Linked DNA regions of Alligator mississippiensis. The protein of the gene in region 1 interacts with the protein of each later gene in a biochemical or structural test. Links are inferred from orthologs where the notes say so. Each region holds a gene or a part of one and is shown in the gene's direction. Other genes may lie near its edges.

What was found.
Region 2: the proteins of RGS4 (region 1) and GNAO1 form a complex in vitro, tested with the Homo sapiens proteins (2 studies listed by BioGRID). The link is inferred for Alligator mississippiensis from reciprocal best matches to the Homo sapiens genes RGS4 and GNAO1.

Annotation. Positions count from the first base shown.
Region 1 is NC_081828.1:40,944,242-40,947,987, reverse strand, and holds the start of RGS4 (regulator of G-protein signaling 4), read left to right. Parts: upstream 1-1,506; 5' UTR 1,507-1,630; coding exon 1,631-1,674; intron 1,675-3,746. UniProt on the Homo sapiens protein: Inhibits signal transduction by increasing the GTPase activity of G protein alpha subunits thereby driving them into their inactive GDP-bound form. Activity on G(z)-alpha is inhibited by phosphorylation of the G-protein.
Region 2 is NC_081833.1:42,086,150-42,089,895, reverse strand, and holds the start of GNAO1 (guanine nucleotide-binding protein G(o) subunit alpha), read left to right. Parts: upstream 1-974; 5' UTR 975-1,433; coding exon 1,434-1,551; intron 1,552-1,747; coding exon 1,748-1,790; intron 1,791-3,746. UniProt on the Homo sapiens protein: Guanine nucleotide-binding proteins (G proteins) function as transducers downstream of G protein-coupled receptors (GPCRs) in numerous signaling cascades.

The DNA of each region.
Region 1 (3,746 bases):
GTCCTATAATACCATCCTAGGATTCACCTACTGGTCCAGATCAAGTCCATTTTTGCCCCCAAAACCACTTAATGTGAGCTCAGTATTATTTTTTTAATGATTATATTTCTCTATCTCATCTCATGCCTTTGTTCGTATTAAAAGAAAAGGGCTTAGACAGGCTTCCTTCCTTAGATAGCCTTGGCTTCTTTGTTACCCTGTCAGTGATTTATGAATACTGCCTACTCAACATGAAAATGAAGAATTATTTCAATCCTGCACATACTTGAAACAGTAGCCATGACGTTATCTTCCCTTTCTTGCATAAATATACACAAACATTTTTGCTTTCAGGTGTGAGCACATACATTTGAATATACCTTCATGGATGCAGCATTTCCTTGCAAGGTCTGTACTCAGTACTGGCATGGCACGTGGGGTTTGTTTTTTCAGTCTTCCCATAGACTCTCATCCCATTTTACTCAAGAAACACCTCATATTCTCTAGGGCAGGGGTGGCCAACTTGTGGTATGAGTGCTACAAGTGATACGAACAGCCTGTGTGTGTGATATGTGAAGGCTGGCAGGCAGGGAACAGGCAGCACAGTGGCAGATAGAGTGGGAAGCAAACAGCAGCTTGTTCAGGGAGCACTGGGCAGGGAGCAGAAAGCAGAGCAGCAGATCAGGTAAAGGAAAGCACCAGTCCAATGCCTCAGGAACAATGAGGGTCTAATTTTTGGCATGCCTGCCAAAAAGGTTGGCTCCCACTGCTCTATGGGGGTGTCTACATGAGATGCTATGGCACAGTAGCAACGAGCTATGGCACAGTAGCTCGTTACCACTGCACCATAGTGTTGCCAGGCATGAACCATGATGGCAATGGTATGGCAAAGTAGTAACAAGCTCATTGCTACTGCACCATAGTGTAAAAAAAAAAGTTTAAAAGTGCAGGGACGGTATTGCATAGTAATGCTGGTTACTGCGCACTGCCACCTATGTAGCCGTGGCCTATGTAATGTATTTCTTTATTTCCCCTGGGCCTCTAATTTTTGCAAGTTACTGTCTATGCTGATTCTCTGGGGACAGAAGACATTTATTCAGTCATCTAACTCAAAGATGTTGCCCACTGTTTAGATTTATCTTAAATGTAAGGGGAAAATGAAATTAAGTAACTCACAAATTTACTCTCCCTTTTCTCGGTCACCTTTTCCCAATCCTCCCTTCCCCTTTCCCTAATAGATTGAAAGAAACAGCCCATCTTATGCAAGGCAGGAAACTCACAATATTTTTTTTCCACTCTATCCAGAGATTCCAAATCTGCATGTCAACTGTGATCTGTCATTTCTGGTAAGGTTTTCTTTTTCATTGTATCTTTTTTGTCCTGATTCATACGTCAGTCTCTTCCTCTTTTCCTGTTGTGTAGGCAAGGAGGGGGTGGCTGCTGCTGCTGTGCTGATTTCTGACTGGCTGGAAAAATGATGCTGGACTCTTTGGTCTAGACTATAAAACAGACCCATGCTGGAGCCAGCAGGCTTAGAAAACAGAAGCACTGAGAATTCTAAGCAAATAGCGCAGCAGGTAAAAACCCGGACACAGCCTCAGCCTCCTCTTGTACTCTTTTCTGGAATTGGGACAAGAACTCCAATAGCAAAATGTGCAAGGGACTTGCTGCATTGCCGGCCACTTGCTTAAAAAGGTAGAGTCTATTACTGAGCATTTTTATTTTTTAAGTTTATAGTCGTGTTGATGTATTCGAGACTGTATCTAAACGGTATTTTACAAGTGTTTCAATCAGAAATAATCAAATTTGAATCTGTTTTTTCTCCAAGATGATATATAATTGATTGTTTAAGGATTTCTTTTTAGGCTAGAATTGGATTGCATCATGGTTCTTTGCCAACTATTGTGAATTCTGGACTAGCTCTAGCCATCAGCATAAATTGCCTCTGTGCATTTATGCATTTTTGCTCTCCTTTATTATATGTTACTGCAGGGTTGTGTCAGCCTCACCCTGTATAGCAGAAGAGAGATCTGTTTTCATATTGAAATTCAGGAATGACAATCTATGTGCATGGTATTTTAATGATATTTGTTTGATGTGTAGCATAATTCCTGAAATAAATGTCAAACTACTTTATGCATCTAGCAAAATAGGTCTGGTTTATAATCATAAAGGAAGGCATATAACAAGAAAATTAAACAGCTGGCAAAAGCAGAAACCAGATGGTTGTTTTGATGGGTGCTAGGGGGACAAGGGCTTCATAATGCAGTAAGGTGCAGTATTATGTAAAACTGAAGATGAGGGGATGGCTGTGACCTGGAACAGGAGGCATGGAAAGAAATGAAAGAGCAGGTTCACAGTTTTGCGGCCAGAGGCTGTCTCTGTTTTTCAGACCTTCCCTTGGGGAGAGGATTCTAACAGGCTTGTTTTACCAAACCTGTTAGTTAAACATTAGCCATTTGGTGCGCGTGAAGTAATGCCTTATGGTAGGGCAGGTAGCTGTCAATATGCATCACTCCCTACTTCCAGGGCATAGAACAAATGCCTTGTAAATCAGCCAAAAATATGGTTCAGAAATCAACTCCCTCCCTTCCCCATTTCCCTCTAATTCCTCGAAAGCTTTGGCCAGGTTTGCTGGATTCTAAATTACTTTGGGACATTACTGTCTGAGAGTCTGGATTCTTTTCTGCAGTGAGTTGCCTCAGTTTCTCATTCTGACTGAGAGTGGGACAAAAAAAAGAGGGTCAACTAAGCAGGCAGATTTTGCAGGTGGAAGAAAGGGGATGTCTCTTTAGTCCTCTTCACTGCTATAGGATGCAGGAATCTGTCTCCAGAGTGACAATCAATCCACCCTGGCCATAAGCAAATCCTTCTGGACGGTGTGTCTCAGAGCTTGAACAAAGCTGGGATATGGCAAGGAGAAAGAGACGCCTCATCTCATCCTTATGGAGAAGTCCTATAGAACATCCCAGAGTGATGGCCTCTCTAAATCTGTCCTTGGGTCATCTTAACATAATGCAGAGTTCTGTCCCTGTCACTGAAATCTATAAATGGTTTTCAGAGCTATAGAAAGGACAAAGCACTTTAACTTTAATAGCTTCTAGAAGGAAATTCACTTTAAACCTAAACATCTCTTGTACCCCACTGGTTTCAAACTTGTACTGCTCTCTGGGGCTGTGCCCAAAGGCCTTCTCTTCAGACTCACACTGCTAGGTCCTGCCCATGTCTTGTTACATCTTCTTGTACAAGTTCTTCCAGAGCAAATCTGGCCTCTCTGCCCACCCAACCGTACCTCTGGGCCAAGCAAGCCCTGACAATTTGCCACCTTCTTCTCTCTGGCTTCGATGATTTAAAGAAATCCACACATGCTAGGCACAGCATAACTCTGATGCTAGGCAAACAACCTTAACTCTGATTACAGGAGACTGAGTGTAAAGATATGCAACTTTTTTCTTTTCTTTTATCTTGCTGTCGCTATGCCAGCACGAAGTCTGCACAGCTTTTAAACAGAGGCATATGTCAATATGCAATAATTGGCATATATGCATATTGGCTCATTAAATAATTGATATGCAATGTTGCATCTGGAACTTGGCACCTTTAGGAGGTGTTCTCTGCAGTGCAGCTTAGCACACTGACTGTTGACTGGATCATGGCCCTAGCTGGGTATATAAGACATAGTAGGGCAGAGAACACAGTCAACTGGACAGGCAGTCCCTCTTTGTGCTAAGGAAGTGCATAAGGCAGTTTCTTCCTGGGATAGAGAG
Region 2 (3,746 bases), on another chromosome or scaffold:
TATGGTGGATGGTGAACCTGTCTTCATTTCCCAGTGGATTATCCTGGGCCTGTAGTGCTGAAAGAACTTGCAGTTATTATTTAGATTATGACAACACTCAGAGGCCCCACCCAAGGCAGGGACCATACCTTTGCATAACGAAGGAACAGTTCATGGCCCCAGGAAAGGACAATCTAAACAGGCAAAGGATGGAAGAAGAGTGGGATTTCCTGCTTTGAAGATGGGCCGGCTCAGCGTCGCACAAGTTTGTGGCCCAGCTTGGAATCTGACCCAGGCCTCCCGAGTCCCTGAGCCTTGGCTGCAAACCCTGCTTCTTCACAGCAAGGTGGAAGTTAGCAATGGATCCCATCCCCCAGCAACAGAAGAGGCCTGTTAGGGACAAAGACATGGTTAGGTGACCACAACCGGAGAAGAGGCAAGGATTTATTGGGGTGGCAGCTGCAGTTGAACCAACTGCCAACCGCCTAGCTGGGGTAGTGTTCGAGGAGTTAGAGGCTCCCTGCAACTTGCTGTCCCAAATCCCCTTGCCCTGTAGGACCCTTCCTCAGCGCCCCCACCTTCCACTGCCTGCAGCTGGGCATAGGGGGCACAGGGAGACCCGTCTACCCTGGGACTGGACAGGAGGGGCGCAGGGCAGGGCTGGGTTCTCACTGCACCTCGCCTGCAGCAGCGGGATCCACAGATGCTAGGGGCTGAAAGGGACCTCACAAGTTCATCGGGTGCAGCCCCCTCCACTTGGGCAGGAAAGACTGCTGTTGGGAGCTGCAAAAAGGAGCGGGCTGCAGTCCCGGGATCCTGGGCATGAGGGAGACCCCCAGAATCTGCCCCAGCCCGTCCGCGGGGCACGGCCCCCTGCCCCCGCAACCTCGCCCCGCCCCGCCCCGCCCCGCCTGCTCCACCAAGGCGGTGCCGCTGAGGACTGGGCCGGGCGCATGCGCGACAGACGTCAGCGAGGCAGGCGAGCCTGTGCGCGCTGGGGAGCCGTGGCGCACTCCCGCCTCCGCCCCCCGCGCTCTCTCCATTAGGAGCCGCCGGACTATGCGATCGCTCGCAGCCATTGCCGCCGCCGCCGCCGCCCATTAGAGACTCCCAGCCGGCAGCAGCAACAGCAGGACAAGGACCCACCCTCCCCCCACCCGCCTCCTCCTCCTCCCCGGCTCAGCTCCCGCGCAGCCCCCGGTGCCTGCAGCCCCGCACCCGCCCGGCTTCGACTCGGATGCGTTGATCCTGCGGCTAGCCCGGGGAAGGCCGGCGCGGGGGGCTGTGGTCCCGCCGGGGGTCCTCTCCGCGCCTGCGGCTGCACGTTTGCTTATCTCGGGGGGGCGGCCGGCGGTTCCCGATCTCGTGGGGGTGGGTCGTGTCCGCCTCTTTGCCTTCCCCGCCCGCGGAGCGTCTGAGAGGGGAGCAGAGCCCGCCGAGGTTGCTTGGCCACCATGGGATGTACCTTGAGCGCGGAGGAAAGAGCAGCCTTGGAGAGGAGCAAAGCGATCGAGAAGAACCTCAAGGAGGACGGGATCAGCGCTGCCAAGGATGTCAAGCTGCTGCTGCTGGGTAAGCCGGGCCCCCGCCCCGCACCGCGGCCCCGGGCGCCTGCCGGGGAGCGACCCCTCCTCCCTCCCTGCCTCCTCCGGCCTCCCCCCACCTCCACCCCGCATCCATTAGCCCAGCTGCTCCCTTCTTGGTAATCTCCTTGATCTTATTTTCTCCCACTCACCAGCTCTTTTCCTTTCTGTGTCTGTCCCAACAGGGGCTGGAGAATCTGGGAAAAGCACCATTGTGAAGCAGATGAAGTAAGTCCCCCCCCCCACCTCGCCTCTTCGGGGTGGGGGCTTGTTTGACTGATGTAAAGCCTGGATCTGACCCCAGGGGCAAGGAGGGGGTCCGTGTCCCGTCGTCCCCCTCACCCCCCCCCCCCGCCTTTTTTTTTTTTTTTTTTTTTTTGCGGGCGCCAGGCGCGGGCGGGGAGGGATGCTCGGCGGTATGAATGGCTGTGGCCGCCATGTTTCTCGGGGAAGTGTGAGGGCTGCTTCGGGGCGGCGGATGCCCCGGGCCTGGCACGGCTGGAGCGTGGCTTTCCGGCTGTGCAGGGAAGGCTTCGGGCCGAGCCGGCCGGCGGGCGTCCGCTGTTCACGGCTTTGGTGCTGAACTGGAGCTCGTGCGGTTTCTTTGCCTCACCGGGAGGGCAAAGGGGGGAGGTGGGTTTCCAAGATGATGTAAATGGCACAGATGTAACCAGGGCAGTGCCATTAAACGTACCGCTGTCAATTAAACTTAATGTCAGGTTTTTATCTTCCGGCACTCCTCCCCCACGCCCCCAACACACACACACACACACACACACACACACACACACACGTGTTTGATCTCCTGACATGGGCTCCGGGGTTGGCTCTCTAGCAATTTTTTTTTTTTAAATCTGTCTGTAATGCGGATTTAAAGCGCAGCTCGCTGCCACTCAAAGCCCCTTTTACCCAAGATTTGAGCCTTTCTTCTTAATTAATTCGAGATGAATTTGGCCGTGGGTCACCAATTAAAATTAAACCGGGATATTAAAACAAAAACAAACAAAAACCCACCGAGGAAACCAGCTCCTTCCTAGGCCACCTCGGGAGCCTGCTCTTGCTTCCCCTTCCTCCCATCCACCATTTCTGGTGTGATGCGAGCTATGTGTTTGAAATCTCCAGGCTGCAACGGTGCAAGTGAGGAGCGATGGAGCCGGCTGGTGTGGGACTGCACAGGGGTTGTGCCGTGCCCCTTTGCACACGCACACCCACACTCACGCTTGCTAATTAGGCGCTGCTGTACAATAAACAACAAATATATATTCCTGCTCAGCTCCAGCCTGGCTGGCTGCACTCATTGCATCCCCTAGGAAAGCAGATGGGGGGAGGGCAGGGGCTAGGGAAGTGGGCGGCTCTGGGGGGTGTCATTTCACCAAACCTTGTGTGTGCCCGGGGGGGGGGGGGTGGATCCCAGCCTTGCACTGGAGCAGACACGACCAGCCTCTTCCTGGCGGCGCCATGGCGGAGCGGTCCCCAGGGTGGCAGGGCGATGGCCTCCCCGTGCCTTTATTTTTCTCCGGGAAAGAAGAGAGAGAGAGAGAGTGTGTTTTCCAGGGGTGATGTTGAAAAGAGATCCCGGCCCGGAACTGGGTGTGGAGGGCGGGGAGCTGCAGCACTGCCCTCGCAGGGCCCTCGGGAGCAGATCCCCTCTGCAGAGAGGAAGGGCTGTGAGCATCCATCCCCGGAGCGGGGATTGAGATGCTGGCCGGGCTGGGGAGGCGGCTGCCGGGCCCTGTGCCGCGGAAGGGAGGAGATTTCAGGAGGTTCAGGTGGTGGACAGCGCCCAGCCCAGCCTGGGGCTGCGATCGGGGCTGGGAGATCAGGAGCGCTCGGCTGCGCTCGGGGGCTGCCGGCTGCCCGCTCGGCTACGTTCGGAGACGCTTCGGGAGCTGTCGGTAAAGACCGAGCAGCCTCGGAAATAGCCGAATGAGCTCGGAAGCGCTCGGCAATCTGGGGCTCTCCACTAGCATCAGTCAATGGAGCTGTTTAGGGAGGGCTTGATCCCCCTGCCCCTGCTGAAGGGAGGGGAAATTCCCCATTAATTTCCTCTAGGAACAGGCCGTGACCCTTCACTTCATCTCTTCCCCTCCAGCCCCAGTGTCTGTTAAAAAAAGGTGTCACGTCAAGTGAGTGAGTGGAATATATATATATATTTTAACAGAGGAAAAAAAAAAGTCCCAAAGG